Tamandua tetradactyla: one gene and its partner. The protein of the gene in region 1 interacts with the protein of each later gene in a pairwise test. Links are inferred from orthologs where the notes say so. Each region holds a gene or a part of one and is shown in the gene's direction. Other genes may lie near its edges. The genes, in order: DHPS and EIF5A2.

What was found.
Region 2: the proteins of DHPS (region 1) and EIF5A2 interact in binary tests that used the Homo sapiens proteins (3 or more experiments, as listed by UniProt). The two-hybrid records come from large-scale screens. The link is inferred for Tamandua tetradactyla from reciprocal best matches to the Homo sapiens genes DHPS and EIF5A2.

The regions. Positions count from the first base shown.
Region 1 is NC_135337.1:89,906,482-89,914,251, forward strand, and holds the start of DHPS (deoxyhypusine synthase), read left to right. Parts: upstream 1-4,448; 5' UTR 4,449-4,822; coding exon 4,823-5,029; intron 5,030-5,191; exon of another isoform or gene 5,192-5,304; intron 5,305-5,417; coding exon 5,418-5,582; intron 5,583-5,823; coding exon 5,824-5,945; intron 5,946-6,041; coding exon 6,042-6,138; intron 6,139-6,221; coding exon 6,222-6,308; intron 6,309-6,838; coding exon 6,839-6,944; coding exon of another isoform or gene 6,945-6,963; intron 6,964-7,028; coding exon 7,029-7,132; intron 7,133-7,770. Other genes in the region: FBXW9 (F-box/WD repeat-containing protein 9), read left to right, coding at 1-17; GNG14 (guanine nucleotide-binding protein G(I)/G(S)/G(O) subunit gamma-14), read right to left, coding at 891-1,016, 1,118-1,210, 1,335-1,370. UniProt on the Homo sapiens protein: Catalyzes the NAD-dependent oxidative cleavage of spermidine and the subsequent transfer of the butylamine moiety of spermidine to the epsilon-amino group of a critical lysine residue of the eIF-5A precursor protein to form the intermediate deoxyhypusine residue.
Region 2 is NC_135331.1:68,342,060-68,350,738, reverse strand, and holds the start of EIF5A2 (eukaryotic translation initiation factor 5A-2), read left to right. Parts: upstream 1-5,135; 5' UTR 5,136-5,236; intron 5,237-7,772; exon of another isoform or gene 7,773-7,997; intron 7,998-8,051; exon of another isoform or gene 8,052-8,222; intron 8,223-8,679. UniProt on the Homo sapiens protein: Translation factor that promotes translation elongation and termination, particularly upon ribosome stalling at specific amino acid sequence contexts.

The DNA.
Region 1 (7,770 bases):
GGAGGCTGCAGGCCTGAGAGGTGGCCCTGGAGGTAGACTGCTGGCCGGCAGGCTGGGCCGGGCCTTCTGTTCTTGGGGGATGGTTCCCCCATGCTGGTGCTATCTGCCCCCCAGCCCCCGGGCCTGAGGTGCCAGGGCGCCAGGGCCTCCGGGCCGTGGTCAGGCAGGGGGCCCTGGGCTGGCCTGTGCTGGGGGAGGCAGGTTGGGGTCCCGGCCCCGGCAGCAAACTGCCCTTGCCCTGGGACCCTGCTGGTGTGGTGACAGTGGAGAGGTTGTGTGTGGAGAAGAAATAAACGTGATGTGATGTTACTGGGGCTGGCAGTGGTGGCTGGGGGGCCTGGGGGGCTCTGCCAGGGTGTGTGCGGGCTGGGGGGGCTGCAGGGGCGGGTGTGTGCATGTGAGCAGGCAACTGGCGGGCAGGGAGCTTGGGGCTGGAGGAGGCAGTCCTGGCGTGTTTCCATTACAATGAGTATGTGTGTGTGTGTGTGTGTGTGTGTGTGGTCCTGGCGTGTTTCCATTACAATGACTGCTGTGTGTGTGTGTGTGTGTGTGTGTATGTGTGTGTGTGGTCCTGGCGTGTTTCCATTACAATGACTGCTGTGTGTGTGTGTGCGTGTGTGGCTTGTCTGTGGGCCTGAGTGTGTGGTCAGGGACTGGAGGGCCTGAGGACATAGGCACCTGTTTTTAGGGCTGCAACTCTGCGTGGGTGATGTGTGTTGGCGCAGGGAGCCCGCTGGCGCTGCCCTGTGGGGGTGGGGAGGCGAGGGAGGGAGTGGGACCAGTGCCCCCCTGCGGCCTGCGACCCTCTGCCACAAGGATGCTGCCACCTGCACGCCCACCTCCCCAGGCCCAGCCACACCCCGGGCAGCGGTCACTTCATGTTTATTGGGTCACAGGATGGCACAGGGCTTCTTCTCCTTAAAGGGGTTGGTGGCAGCCGGGATGCCCACGAGGAAGGGGTCGCTCTTGGCCTGCTCCGTGCAGAACTGCAGCAGGTCGGCGGCCGCCTTGGACACCTGGGGTCGCCCCCCCACATCCCGTCAGCCCCGCCCCGGTGCTCAGCTGAGCCCTGCACCCCCGGGGCGCCCCAAGCCACCCCGCTGGGCCAGGCCCTCACCTTCACGCGCTCCAGGCCCACCTCCATGCGTAGCTGCTCCACGGCCCGGCGGGCCTGCCCGATGTCACTGCCAAGGGCCACCTTGCTGGACATCTGGGGAAAGGCGAGCTGGGGGTGGGCGGGGGCCTGGCCCCAGAGCCCCAGACCCTGTACTGCCCTCAGGCCCCTGGGGACTGCAGGGGAGCGGCTCCCTGACCTCCCCCCAAGGCCACTGTACCTCTGCTGAGGACTCAGCCGATCCTGGCCGCCCCATCCACCGCCAGCTGGGTTCTGGCTGCCTCTCACCCCCACCTGGCCTCCCCTCTCCCAGCCCCTCCTCGTCACCCCCCGCCAAGGCTTTGAAGCCAGGAGGCTCCCTCACCATGCAGTGAAATGTCACCAGCCTCAGCTGCTGCTTGGGCCAAGGGGGTCCCTGCCCCAGGAGGCCCCTGCGGTGGCCCTGGTGTCACGTGTCATCTAGATCCCTGGGGGATGGGAGCCCTGCAGGCTGAATGGCTTGGCAGGCGGAATGCAGGGGTGGGGTGGGTTGGCCACTCCATGGTCTGCTTGACCCCTTGCTATCCTTTCCCCAACACGTCTCCTTGGCCAGGCTCTGCCATCCCCTGTGTGCGGGATTGCAGCAGGGCAGCCCTGCCTTTCCTTTCTGTCTACACCCACCGCCTGGGTACAAATGACTCCATACACCCAGAGAGCGGACTTCCTCAGTCCCTTTCCCAGCCGTTCCCTGAATTACAGACCTGAGGTCCCACCTCCTTCCTTGGTACATCCTTTAATTCAATCAAAGCTAGACTCTGTTATCTGTCTGCCCAAATCTTATGTCCCCCCTCCCCTGAGTTGAAGTGCAGTACCCTCCACTCGACTGCTCAGGGCCAAATCTCCAAATCCTTTTCTGCCCTTCCTTCCTGTTATCCCCACACCAAATCCTTTCTCAAGTGCCATCAGGGGAGCCTTCAAGTTGGATTCTGCATTGGTCACTTCCGCCCACCCTGTGGTCGCGTCCCCCTTCGCTTGCCTGGCCCCGGGCAGCTGACTCAGCCCTGCCGGCCCTCTCCAGGTCACACCTCGGCTCTCCTCAAGGCAGCCAGTGGGAATCTCTTAAAAAATACATCACAGGCTCTCGATCTTGCTGAGACTCTCCCAACGTTTTGCTGCCCCTTAGAATGAGATTCACCAGTGCACGCGGGGTCCTGTCTAGGCTGGACTCTCCTGCTGTCTCTGAATTCATTTTCGCACCACCCTCTCTGTCTCTCATTCTTCACTTACCAGCCTGATGCCCTTGATTTCATTCATTCATTCATTCGGCACACTTGCTGAGGTCCTTGTATTTTCCAAATACTGCTCAAAAAGCAGGAGGTGAAATGGTGAAATGAGACAAAATCCTGTCCTCACTGAACTGCTATTCTAGTAGGGGAGGGACAGACAACCAGTGAATAAAATACACGTTATAATGCAGACATTTTTGTATAAAAGCAAGGGGAGGGCAAAGGGGAGTGGCCAAAGCAGGCCAAGAAGGTGATAAATGAGCTGAGACCCAAAGGAGCTGCAGGTCAGGAGAGAGGCTGGAGGGTTCCAGGGGCACATGGAGGCTGATGTAGCTGCAGAGAAATGAGCAAGCAGAAGCTAACGGGTGTTGGGGCAGGTCAGCGGTGCCCCTAGAGGCCAGGGAGAAGTGGCTGGATTTTATCCCAAGGGGAAGTCACCCTTAGAGAGTTTTAATGAGGAATGCTGCATGTGATTTATGTTTAAAGAAGGGCTCTCCGGCTGCTGTTGGGAGACAGATTGGAGGGGAGGGAGCCCAGTGTGGAAGCCACGGGAATGAAGAAAAGTGCGTGTACCTGGGACCTATTTGATAGGTAGAACTTAGTGGGTGTGCTGATAGAAGGGTGTGGGGTCTGAGAAAATGGAAGACCTCAGGTTCAACTCCATAGTTTCTGGCCAAGTGGAGAAGTGGAGGTTGAGGACATTGGTTGAGATGCAGAAGATTGTGGGAGGATCAGATTTAGGTGAAGAGGGGAAGGATGTATTGAATTTGAGACCCAAGTAGGGTGTTAAGAAGGATGTTCTGTCTGTCCTATAAAGTGGGCTCATTGCCAGCCTCAGGGCCTTTGCACTGCTGGGGGTGGGGGTGAATGCCCTCCCCTGATTTCTTCACATAGCGGTGGGTCTTTCTTGGCCTTCTGGTTTTGGCTCAAAACCTCCCAACTACCTGTCCATCCAACTGAAGTCGCCAATCACCCCAATTACTCTCCTACGTCACCCTGTTTAAGTCCTGAATAGCATTTACACTGTTAATTTTCAGACTGTGGGCTCCTCGGGGGCAGAGGTCAGTCTTGTTCACTGCTAAACCCACAGCACCTAGCACAGAGCCCAAGGCGTAGTATGCCTCCACATATCTTAAGCCAGCAATAAAGGGGTGGCCTGCGCACAATTAGAGAGATGCTGTTCTAGTTTGCTAGCTGCAGGAATGCAATATACCAGAAGCAGAATGGCTTTTAAAAAGGGGAGTTTAATGAGTTGCTAATCTACAGTTCTAAGGCCAAGACAATGTCCCAATTACAACAAGTCCATAGAGATGTCCAATCAAAGGCATCCAGGGAAAGATACCTTGGTTCAAGAAGACCGATGAAGTTGAAGGTTTCTTTCTCATCTGCAAAGGCACATGGTGAACACGGTCAGGGTTCCTCTCTCATGTGGAAGGGCACATGGCGAACATGGAGTCATCTGCTAGCTTTCTCTTCTGGCTTCCGGTTTCATGAAGCTCCCCGGGAGGCGTTTCCCTTCTCCATCTCCAAAGGTCGCTGGCTGGTGGACTCTCTGCTTCGTAGTGTTGCTCTCTCTGAATCTCTCATTCTCCAAAATATTTCCTCTCTTATATGACTCCAATAAACCAATCAAGATTCAGCTTAACAACCACTCCTGACTAAATCCCATCATCCAGGGAAATGATCTGATTACAGTTTCAAACATACAGTATTGAACAGAGATTATTCTACCTTTACGAAATGATATTTTGATTAAAACATGGCTTTTCTTAGGGGGCATACTTCCTTTCACACCGGCACAGATGCGCATAGAGGGATGCAGGAGCCACAGACCCGCCTTCAGGAGTCTTACAGTCTCCCTGGGGCGGGGGTGAGGGGAAGAGAGGGGGAAGAGCTGTCAGAAGAGATCTTTGGGCCAGTCTGGAAAGTCAGGAAAGGCTTTCCAGAGGTGACAGCTGCAGCTGCCGGTGGAAAGGGTTGTGCAGCACGTGGTGGCATGAGCAGAGATCAGTGCCATGTGACTAGAGAGGATGAGAGGCAGGAAACTGTATCTGACTCTGCCTGGGGACCCAAATCCTGCCCAAGGGCCACGCCTAAGAAGTGGTACTCTCCCCAAGACAGAATTGGATGGCGGAAGCATTGCACAACGCGCTGGTTTCCAGCAGGCAGCAGTAAAGGTAGGACTCTAATCATATGAAGCTGAGAACGTGCAAACCAGGGAATAGACTCCTCGCTTCCGTACAGCCGCGCAAACATGGCCACTCCCTGGGCGCCACAGAGAATCATGTGACTGAGCTACTTCCGGTCCGTCTCCCCGAGGTCTTCCCGAGCCCCATTTCCTGCGCTCCGGCAATAGAAGCAAGCGGTTGTGGGACCCGGCACGTTAAACGCCGCCGGAGGCCCGCCGGGGGGCGGCCGTGACCTGGGAGCGCCGCCGCATAGTATGGAGGGCCCCCTGGAAGGAGGGGCGCCCGCGGCGGCGCTGGCCGCCGTGCTGAAGCACAGCACGGCGCTGCCGCCCGAGAGCGCCCAGGTCCGGGGCTACGACTTCAACCGCGGCGTGGACTACCGCGCGTTGCTGGAGGCCTTCGGCACCACCGGCTTCCAGGCCACCAACTTCGGACGCGCGGTGGAGCAAGTCAACGCCATGGTGAGGCCTGAGGCGGGACTTCCGGGCCCGGGGAGGAGCGTGGTCTGCCGGGGGACCCGTGCTGTACCTGGGTTAGGGGGCGGGACTTCCTGCGGGCTGGGTGGGGCGTGCCATCCGATGGGGCGGTCCAATCGCCGGAGAGAGGCGGGGCCTGTCCTGGGCGAGCGTTTCTATGAGGGCTAGACTTGCAAAGGAGATGCTGACTCCAGAAAGGCGGCTACTCCTGAGCCCTCCCCTGAGGTCTGGGCGGGGAAGGAGGCGGGGCCTGGCACCAGGTACAAGTGGTACCCGATTCCTGAGTGGGCAGGGCCTTGGGGGCGGGGTCTGCCTCTGGGACCTACCCGGGGCCTTTGGGTTGAGCTCAAGCCCATCGGGCCCCTCTACCCAGATCGAAAAGAAGCTGGAGCCGCTGTCGCAGGACGAGGACCATCATGCGGACCTGACCCGGAGCCGCCGCCCGCTCACCGGCTGCACCATTTTCCTGGGCTACACGTCCAACCTCATTAGCTCGGGCGTCCGCGAGTCCATCCGCTACCTCGTGCAGCATAACATGGTGGGAACCTGGCAGGGTTGGGGCCTAGACGCCCTCTGAGTCTCAGCGGTCAAAAGGATCATCGAACGTTTTAGTGAGATGATGGAGAGATGGGTCGGTCCTAAGCAGAGGGACAGGATGCAGTTGATTTTGCAGCAGCGCTGCCCCTAAGGGTCTTGGGGTGAAGGTGGGGGTTTGGAGACCTGCAGGCTGAGGGCAGGGATCCCCTTCCCTGGCCAACGTTGCCACCTTCTGGCCACAGGTGGACGTCCTGGTGACCACAGCTGGGGGTGTGGAGGAGGATCTCATCAAGTGCCTGGCACCCACGTACCTGGGGGAGTTCAGTCTCAGGGGGAAGGAGCTCCGGGAGAATGGGATCAACAGGTGTGGGGGAGGGGTGCTGGGTGGCCTGGGTGGTGCTGGGCAAGGGGGCTGGCCCCAGGGCCCTGAGGCCTGATGTCCACCTCCTCCTGCCTCCAGGATTGGGAACCTGCTGGTGCCTAATGACAATTATTGCAAATTTGAGGACTGGCTGATGCCCATCCTGGACCAGATGGTGCTGGAGCAGAACACAGAGGTGGGGCCAGGGCCCACCCCCTGGGGGGAGGGTGGCTCAGTGGGAGCCACAGGAAGTGCGGGCTCATCCTTGTCTCCTCCTAGGGTGTGAAGTGGACTCCTTCCAAGATGATTGCCCGGCTTGGCAAGGAGATCAACAACTCAGAGTCGGTGTATTACTGGGCCCAGAAGGTGAGGGGCTGATTCGGGGCACGTGTTAGCTTCCTTCCTCTCCACAGGGGGATGGTGTCCTCATTCTCATTGCCCCCATTTCAAGGTGAGGAGCCTTAGGCACAGAGCAGTTAAGTAATTCTGTTAGACATCACCCAGCTGTTGAGCGGATCTGTTCTCCTGGGCTGCCTGGGAGCAGTTGGGAGCTTAAGTCCGGACAGTGCTTAGCAAGGCCCCTATGGGTGCCTGAGGGTCCACACCCCACAGAGGCCAGGAGGTCTAGGCATCTGTCAGTTAACACAAGCTACTGCCTTTTAGTTGCTAGGCGCTGTCCTAAGTGTTTTGGGTGGTTTGTTAAATGGGCATCATCTTTGGGGGTAGGAGGGGAGGTACTATTATCCCTTGTAGTGCTCTTGAGGAACCTGAGGCCCAGAGAAGTTAAGCCCTCTGCCCCCAGTCAGGCAGGGAGGAAGTGATGCAACAGGGAGAGGCACCAGGCTGCCCGCACCAGGCTCCGGGCCCCAAGCCCTGTCCTGCCCTCCCTCCCCCAGAACCACATCCCTGTGTTGAGCCCGGCGCTCACGGATGGCTCGCTGGGCGACATGATCTTCTTCCATTCTTACAAGAACCCGGGCCTGGTCCTGGACATCGTGGAGGGTGTGTGCTGGGGCTACAGGTAGGGGTCAGGGGGAGGCGGGCCGGCTGGGCCCCAAGCCTGAACACAGCCCCTCACACCCCCAGACCTGAGGCTCATCAACACCCAGGCCATCTTCGCCAAGCACTCGGGGATGATCATCCTGGGCGGGGGCCTGGTCAAGCACCACATTGCCAATGCCAACCTCATGGTGAGAGCCAGTGTGGGAGCTGTGCCCATGAAGTGGGCCTTCTCCCACATGAGGGGAGACAGGTGTGGACTGGATGGGAAGGCCTCCTGGCCTCTGGAGACTAGTGGGGGAGGGAGGCGACACGTGAAGCACATGGGTGCTGTGACAGGGTGGCAAGAAAAAGGGGTGCATGAGGGGGGCTCTTTTAGGAAGTGTGACCTGTGAGTGCCCGAGTGGGTGGGAGGAGGGCTGTTCCTGGTATAGGAAACGGCCAGAGCGTGGGGGGGTGATGGGGCAGGTGGAGTGGAGCCTTGGGACCGTGCATAGGATTTTGGCTTTTACTCTGAGGAAGGTGGGAGCCATGGAGGGCTCTAAGCACAACAGGGATGTAACCTGATGCAGGTGTTCACAGGTGCCCTCTGGCTGCTCTGTGCTTGTGGGGGGAGGAGGCATCTGCCTTTGTCCCAGACCAGGCGGGTATCAGGAAGCAGGGAGAAGCAGGGTCTTGCAGGTTGTTCTGAAGACAGGGTTGGTAGCAGCTCTTGTTGACCAGGTGGCAGGAGGCCTGTTGACACCTGGTCCTGGGTGGGTCGAGGAAATGCCCCCCACTGCTTACCCAGCAGCCCTTCGGGCCCTCACGTGAGCCAGGGCATCGCTTT
Region 2 (8,679 bases), on another chromosome or scaffold:
GGATAAACTGTGCTGTATATATGCAATGGAATATTACTCACCCTTGAAAAAAAGAATGAAGTTCTGATAGATGCCATTATGTAGATGAATCTTAAAGATATGATGCTGAGTGATTATTGCCATTAATTTGTACATAATAATTCTGTATTATCCTTTTATTATGCATAGAATATATGGTGATTTCTCTTCTCTCATTTTTTATATTGAACATTTGCATATTCACAGATATAAAAAATATCCTAGTCTTGCTAGGGGTTAAACATTTTTGTTTGTTTTTGTTTTTTTTGAATGGGCAGGCACGGGGAATCGAACCCAGGTCCTCTGGCATGGCAGGAGAGCAGTCTTGCCTGCTGAGCCACCGTGGCCCACCCAGGGTTAAGTGTTTTAATTAATGCTTTCCTCAACTAGCTTTTGACATTGTCTATTTTTACTATTGTTTGTTTTCTATCCTTTGATTTCAGTTTTTTATTATTTGCTTTTTTCTACTTACTCCAGCAAATTACAACCAATAGGCCAAATCCAGCCCACCTCCTGTACTTGTAAATAAAATTTTATTAGGATACAGCCATGCTCATTTATTTACATATTTTCTATGGCTACTTTCAGGCTACGATGGCAGAGTTGAACAGTTGTGAGAGAGACTCTACGTCCCATAAAGCCTGAAATATTAACTATCTGGCTCTTTAGATTTACTTCGTAGATTTACTTTGCTTCTCTTTCAATTGTTTCTTAAGGTAGAACCCTGGCCACTAATTTAAACTATTTCTCCTTTTTGAAATAAATGTGTAATGAAATAATTTTCCTGCTAATTACTATTTTAGTTCTAACCTATAAATTTTGATATACTGTTTTTTTATTATTCAGTGTGATACATTTTCTAATGTCTCTTGTTTTTCCTACTTTGATCTATGAGTTATTTACAAAAGTGCCGTTTATTTCTAAATATTTGAAGTTTTTAAATATATCTTGTTGATTTCTAATTTAATTCCACTGAGGTCAGAAAACATTCTCTGTGTGTGGTAATGATTGCACAGTTACGTGATGATACTTTAGATGGATTGTATGGTGTGTGACTATATCCCAATAAAATTTCATTTCAAAACAAACAAAAAAAAAAAGAAAAGAAAACATTCTCTGGAAATTGGCCCAGCATATCTTAGAAGATGATCCACGTATAGTTTAAAAGAATGTGTATTCTGGGGGAAAAAGTGTATTCTCCAGTTTTGGGGTTCAGTGATCTATAAATGTCAGCTAGGTCAAAGTGGCTGATGATCTTAATAAGGTATTAAGATATGCTACTATGTTCTTAATGATGTTGTGTCTATTGCTCCATAAATTACTAAAAGAGGTGTTTGAAACACCCAATTATGACTGCAGACTTCTCTATTTATTCATTTAGTCCTACCAGTTTTGCTTCTTGTATTTGGAAACTCTGCTATTGGGGATATGTACATTTAAGATAAGACTTCCTGACGATTGGATCTTTTATCATTATGCAATGTCCTTCTTTTGTTTGGTAATACTTTTTCTCTTGAAGTCTACTTTATCTGATATTAGTATAGCTACTCCAGTATTTTAATGTCTACTGTTTGAATGCCATAACATTTTCCCATCCCTTCATTTTCAACCTTCCCGTGCCCTTTTTTTAAAGTGTTTCTTGTAAATGGCATATAGTTGGGTCTTATGATTTTGTTTAGTCTAATAATTGCTGCCTTTTGACTGGAGTGCTCACACCACTTACATTAACATAATTATTAATGGGTTTAAATTTAGGCCTATCATTTTCCTATTTGTTTTCTTTTTGCTCCATAGAATTTTTGTTTCTTTGTTTCTCTTTTCCTGCTTTTGTGAGGGTTAATTTAATACTTTTTAGTGTTTCATTTTAATTTTTATTGGCTTCTTATCTATTGCTCTTTACATTCATTTTAGTTGTTCCAGGGATTATAATATGCATTCTTACCCAAACTCAGTGTATTTAGGGTTAATATCATATCACTTTATGTAAAATCTAAAATCCTTGCAACCTCCCCTTGTGGGAACCAGAGGAAAGAACCAAGGAACAGAAAAGGGGCTCATAACAATTTACTTCCATTTATCTTCCATCTTCTGTGCTACTATCATATCTATTACTTTTATACATGGACTAAACCCCAGAATAATGTTTCATGTGTATGTTTTGCTTTAATCAATCATATAACTTCTCACTCTGCCACAGCATCACCTGCCCTGGGACTGGGGTGGTCAGTAACCCAGCCTGCTGTACCCCAGCTGTACCTGGGGTACCTCTTCCCCATGCAGAATATCTTGGGTGAGGGGACTATGGGCAGAACGGGGGTAGTCAATAAGGGTGAATATATGGCGCTGGTAGTAGCAGCAATGATGGTGGATATTTTACGAATGAAACATTGAAAAAATGACACAAATTTCCAGAGGTGGTTTGTTGGAAAAGAGGAAAGATGGAACCAGAACGTTGGGGTCTGGGGAGGAGCAGGAGGGTAGGAGTGGGTAAGGTTATCTCCTTGTTATTAGTGGCCCCCCTGAGGAAAGGGGAAAGGGGCCTAGAGTGGAAGCAGACAGATTTGGGCAAGTGGCCACCAGAGGAACCTGGGCCTCCTCAACCCCACCTGTATGAAAGATGAAATGGCATCTCCCTCATTGCAATATGCTCAGATTCCAGGGAGAGGACAAGGTGGCCTGGAGCAAAGAGCTGGGGAATCCAACTCCTCCTGCTTCCTGCACAGGGAGCTGTGAGGCCCACATGGTGACAAGGACGCGGGTTAGTTGGGGGCGTCCTTGGAGCCTGAGCAGCCTCCTCCATTGTCTGCACCCGCTGCTGCCAGTATGGGGCACGTCAGCGTAGGATGGGGCTTGGGCCTCTTTTAAGGCCAGGGGAGCCCCACCAGACACACTTATAAGGAACCAGAGGGAAGAATGTAGGAACAGAAAAGGGGGGCCCAAACCAGGAGCACAGGCAGCAATGTCTCTCCCCAGAAAGAGTGTGACGCAGCAGTGAGAGGGTGCGGCCAAATGAGACGTGCCTTGTCAAGGAGGGTGTGTGTTTTGGGGCGGTGCAGTGGGGCAGAAGAGTGGGAAGGGTCTCTGGGAACCAAAACCTATGGAAAACTTCCCATTCGGTCCACAGATGGTCCACGGGAGACTCTAGCATGGCGGGTGTGCTTTGTAGTGGGTGGTGGTGAGAGCATGGGCGGGGGGCGCAGGCAGAGCAAGGTGGGCCAGTCCCAGGACACCGCTCCTCCCTGCCAGAGGGGGCCCCTCTCCACTTCCGCGGACTTCTGTGAAATGCCCTCTTCTCCCTCCTCCAGTTTTGGGCGCCTGCCTCTCGATTATCCTGCCTGGCGCTATAGTGATTTTGCGGGTAGGGGAGGGCCCTCGTTCCTGCTCGCCTTGGCTGGGCCCGGAGACCCCTTAAGTGCTGGTACTCCGCTCCGCTCCTGAGGAGGCTGCTTGCGTCCTTTCCCTGCTTGGAGGCTTAGGGGCAGGCTGGATTTAGCTCCATTCGCCAACCTTCCCTTACCGGCAGAGCACGTGAAGAACGCTGGCCGGGCCACGGGCCTGACCGCGCACAGGGCTACCAACAGCCACCAGTCTGGGTGCAGGGCACCTACCGGGCTCCGCCGCCACCGCCTCGGGGAGCCAACGCCCCAGAAATAGCCCCGGCCTTGGAGTCCCAGTTGTTTTTTGGCGGGGGTTGGGGGGGTGGGGTGGGGGTGGTGTTGCATGGTCCAGGAATCGAACCAGGGTCTCCCGCATGAAAGGGGGGCATTCTAACCACTGAGCGACCTCTGTATCCTCTAAGTTTTCCTCCGAAGCCCACCAAATGCCTTCTAACTAAATAAAACCTTCCAAGGTATGTACTGTGGTTCTTGTAAAAGTGATACATTCAGTTTATAAGTATGGTGCATCTTGAGTTCTTTTAAATCTTCTATTTATAAACCTATGGCGATTTCAATCTAAAACCATAAGATTAATTCAATCACCCAACTGTACATTTTAAATTTGGAATCTCAAGGCTTATCTTTACTCTAATATCCTGACTATTATAAATAATTGAAAAATCAAATCTGTACCAATTTTTTATCAAAAAATATCAAACCCACCAGTGTGCTTACATTATTACTTCTATACATAATCCTAAATCTTCCCGAGACTATGTAAGTAAGGAAACAGTCATCCCAAACAATTTAAAATGGTGCCAGTGACAGGTCCAAATTTGCAATCAAGATTCCCAGAGTTGCTTCATTTGGTCCTTTCTGCACAGTTTTTCCCTTGTCATTTGTGGCAAGCTCTTCATTAAATTCTCTTTTTGTTTAATCAGGATTGGTTTCTTTTGTTTGCAACCCAAGAACCCTAACTAATCTGAATTGATAACAGGGAGCAGTAGGCTGCAGATTTTCCTGTAAATGTGGGTATCAAAAACTGGTTACTAGGGAAAAAAACAAAAAAGTGATTAGTAGGGCAGGCCATGGTGGCTCAGCAGACAGAGTTCTCACCTGCTATGCCACAGACCGGGGTTCATTTCCTCGTGCCTGCCCATGCAAAAAAAAGTAAAAAAAATACGATTTGCTAATGCACTGGTGGCTTGGTGACAGAATTCTCATCTGCTGTGCCAGAGACCCGGGTTCGATTCCTGGATCCTGCCTATGTAAAAGTAAAAAAGGACTATGATTTTTCTGAGAAGCAAACTAAAGAGCTTCTCTCATAACTCTCTTGATTCTTTCTTTCTTCTCCATGTTCTCAGATTTACTACCAGGTAATTCCTTCCTAACTGGTTTCCACTTCCAACATTTTTTCTCCTAATAAATTCTCTGCACTGCAACTAGAATGATCTTTCTAAGTAAAAAAATATGTTGTTGTCAATTCCGTATATATAGACAAAGGGAGATATAGATATATACATACAATGTTTCTCAATTACCCTTGGGAGAAAGTACAGATTTGTTCATCTCTCTTTACCATCCACATCAGTTCCGCTAAACCATTTGCAGTACCAGATGATGCCATGATTCTGTCACCTTTAGGCCTTTGTACCCCCATTTCCTTTGCCTAAATCCCTTTCAAACCCTCTCTCCATTGAGAATTTCTACTCATTTTTCAGATTTCAAATGAGATATTCCCAAGGGTAGCAGTCTCCAAACCTCCCAGACCTGTGATGTCAATATAACTACACCTAGCGGCTGAGCACTTGAAAGGTGTCTCTGCTGAATTGAGATATACTGTAAGTATGAAATACATGCCAGATTTTGAAGGCTTAGTATGAAAAAGTGAATGAGAATATTTTATTAATAATTTTTATATTGAGTATATGTGAAATAATATCATTTTGGATAAATGGGTTAAAAAACTACATTACTGAAATTAATTTCATCTGTTTCTTCTTACTTTTTTATATGGCTACAAGAACATTTAAAATTATACATGCTTTGCAAGATATTTCAATTGTTAGACTAAATAAGGAATCCCTTCTTTCAGCACTCTGTAGTTATTTCTCTAATAGCATTTATTCTACTCCATTAAAATTGCTAGTTTGCTTCTTTTTTTTTTTTTTTAGACAGAGAAGGAAGGAAGGATAGAAGGAAGGAAAGGAGGAAGAAAGGGAAACATCTTTCTTATTTTATTATATTTTGTTTGTTTGTTTGTTTTTTACATGGGCTGGGGCCGGGAATCGAACCGGGGTCCTCCGGCATGGCAGGCAAGCACTCTTGCCCGCTGAGCCACCGCGGCCCGCCCAAAATTGCTAGTTTGCTTCTTACTACAAGCATCTACTGACTGGATTGGTTAATAACTCCAGAACCATGGGTACTTCAATATTTGTTGAATGCATGAACCTTTGATTTAAAATCCAATGCTTTGTTATCTTATGTGAATGTAGTATGTGTGCTGGTTGAAGTAGTGAATTTTGGAGCCAAACTGCTTAGATTTCCATCTTGGCTCTCTGACTTGCTAGCTGTGTGATCTTGATCAGGTTACTTAACCTTCCTCTGCCTTTTTCCTCAACGAAAAATGGAAATAGAATAGTAGTTGTGAACGATAGCCAGGGGCTGGGGTCGCAGGCATGGACTGACCACAAGAGGTACCTTTTGGAGCAAGAGAAATTTTCTCTGTCTTGATTATAGTGGTGGTTACATATGGCATGTCTCTCAAAGCTCACAAAACTAAAAACGATGAACTTTGAATAAATATAATTCAATAATCCTGAGGTTTAAAAAGAGTAGCAATGAAGATTACATTCATAATGCACGTAACACTTTTAGCACAACCCCCACCCACATACATACACTTTAAATATTAGCAATCATTCTAGTAACAATAATAATCAAACAAAGAAAGGTTGAGTGATGTAACGAAAAGCAGAGTGGACTCATGAACAAGGGTTCCAATCTGTCTCTTTCACATATAAGCTAGAGACTGAGTTCAATATATGGCGACTCACTTGCTTATTGTGAAAGTTAAATTCATCAACACGTAAAATATCTGTGTAAACTGTGAAGCCACATAGAAATGTGAGAAAAGGGATTATTCATGAGACAGCAATACAAAATCATAGGACCACACATAAAGTGAGGGTGGGAAGTGGTTTCCTAGGTTGCTTCTCTAAGGTGGATCCTGGTGAGTGGTGAAAAGGAACTATAAACAGATGCACATCTCTTTTAAGAACCTTTGTCCTTGTGCTGGTTTGAATTTGTGGACCCCAGAAAAGCCATGTCCTTTAATCCTCATTCTGTACTGCTGAGTGGGAGCTTTTTAATTATCCATGTAGATGGATACCCACTCAATCGTGGGTGGTAACTTTTGATTAGATGATTTCCATGGAAATGTGTCTGTACCCATTCAAGGTGGGGTTGCTTACCAGAGCCCTTCAAGAGGGAACCATTTTGAAAAGAGCAGCCACAGACCTTTGGAGATGATGAAGAAGGAAAATGCCCCTGGAGGAGTCTCATGAAACAAGAAGCCAGGAGAGAAAGCAAGTAGATACCACTGCCATGTTCACCATGTGCCTTTCCAGAAAGAGAAACCCTGAACATCATTGGCCTTCCTGAACCAAGTTATCTTTTCCTGAACGCCTTCGATTGGACATTTCTATAGCCTTGCTTTAGTTGGGATATTTTCTCAGCCTTAGAACTGCAGCTTAATAAATCCCCCCTGTAAAAGCCGTTCTGTTTCTGGTATATTGCCATTCTGAGAACTAGCAAACTAGAATGGTCCTTAATATTATTCAAGTTTCAGTAGTTTTCAGTTGGGTGTGAAAGATAATCCTACTGCTTCAATAAAGTTATGTAAAGACCCCCAAAACTCGAAAGTACCTCAATTCCACAAGGAAAGAAGGGCTGACTGTGCAAAACACCTCCTTTGAACAATATGGCACAAGTGAGATCACCTCCCTCACAGCCTCTGGTGTGGGGAAAGGGTTAGGTCATGTCACTACTGCTTTTTATGTAGTGCTGTCTCAGGGTTTCCCACTCCTGAAAATGTTGCTACCTCTGGTGGGGCACCCTTGTTGTAGTTGCGGCCAGAATGTCATCATGAGGTGCCTAGGACCGCACAGCCAGGCAATAAAATATTGCATCTTGGCTGTTCGTAGAAAAACAAGCGTGGGTTCAAATCCCTAAGAGGATTGCAAGCTCAATCAAAAGCTGAAGCCAAAGTTCTCTCCGTAGCCCGGCTGCGCCTCCGCTCAATTCGCGCGCATCGCGAGTTCTGAGAGCGGGTGTCACGTGACAACCCCAGGCATTCTGAGGGCAGGGGTGACTGAGTTCTTGGTATTGGCCCTCATTTGTTCCCGTTAACGTTGACTGGAACTCCAGCGCAACGAATTTGAGAGTTTGACTGAGCAAGTTTCCTTTCCGGCGAGCAGCGGCTCAGCAGCAGGACGCCAGAAAGCACTCTCCACACCGGAAGTGTACTAATCCGCAGCACGTGGGGTTGCCAGGGCTCTCTTCACGTGACTGGGCGGGGCCCTGGTAACCGTGTAGCCAATGGTAAGGCGGTAGGGCGGTGCCTGTGACGCGCCGGGGCCTATCCCGGAAGTGGAGCTGAGGTGGGGGCGGGAAAGGGCGGGGAGGCCGGGCAGTGGAAAGTGTGGCGGCCCCGCCCGGACTCTTGGAACTGCTGCGGCCGCCACCGCTACCGCCGTCTGCGGTCGCCGCAGCTTTGGGGAACCGGCGCGGGTGCGCAGGCGAAAGGCGCTCTTTCCCTGCTGAAAGGTGAAGAAATATGGAGAAGCTGGTGGGACTGGGAACGGCGCGCGGCCGGAGCCAAGCCCTGACCGAGGGAAGGAGGAAGGATGGATGGGGGATAGAGACGAGCTCGGGGTCCGCCGGGGCGAAGGCCCGTGCAGGGCCGGGTGCCGACGGTGCAGGGGCTGCCTGAGTGGCCGGGGCGGCGGGTCGAAGCGCGGGATGCGCGCCCTTGCCCGAGGACCAGGCACTGCCGGCTGGGTCCCCTTCTTCCCCATCCTTCGCGGGCCCGTGCGGCCTGGGCTGGGCCCCCGGCAGAGGGGTTCGGGGCGTTGGGGAGGGCAGGGCCGCCCGGCGCGGGAACGTCGCCAGCCCTGCGGTGGGAAGGTGGGGGCCGGGACCTGCTTGCCCTCGGCGCGGCAGAGCGTCCGAGGGGTGTAGCGGTCCCCCACCAAGCTCCTCTGCGACTTCCCTCCCCACCAAT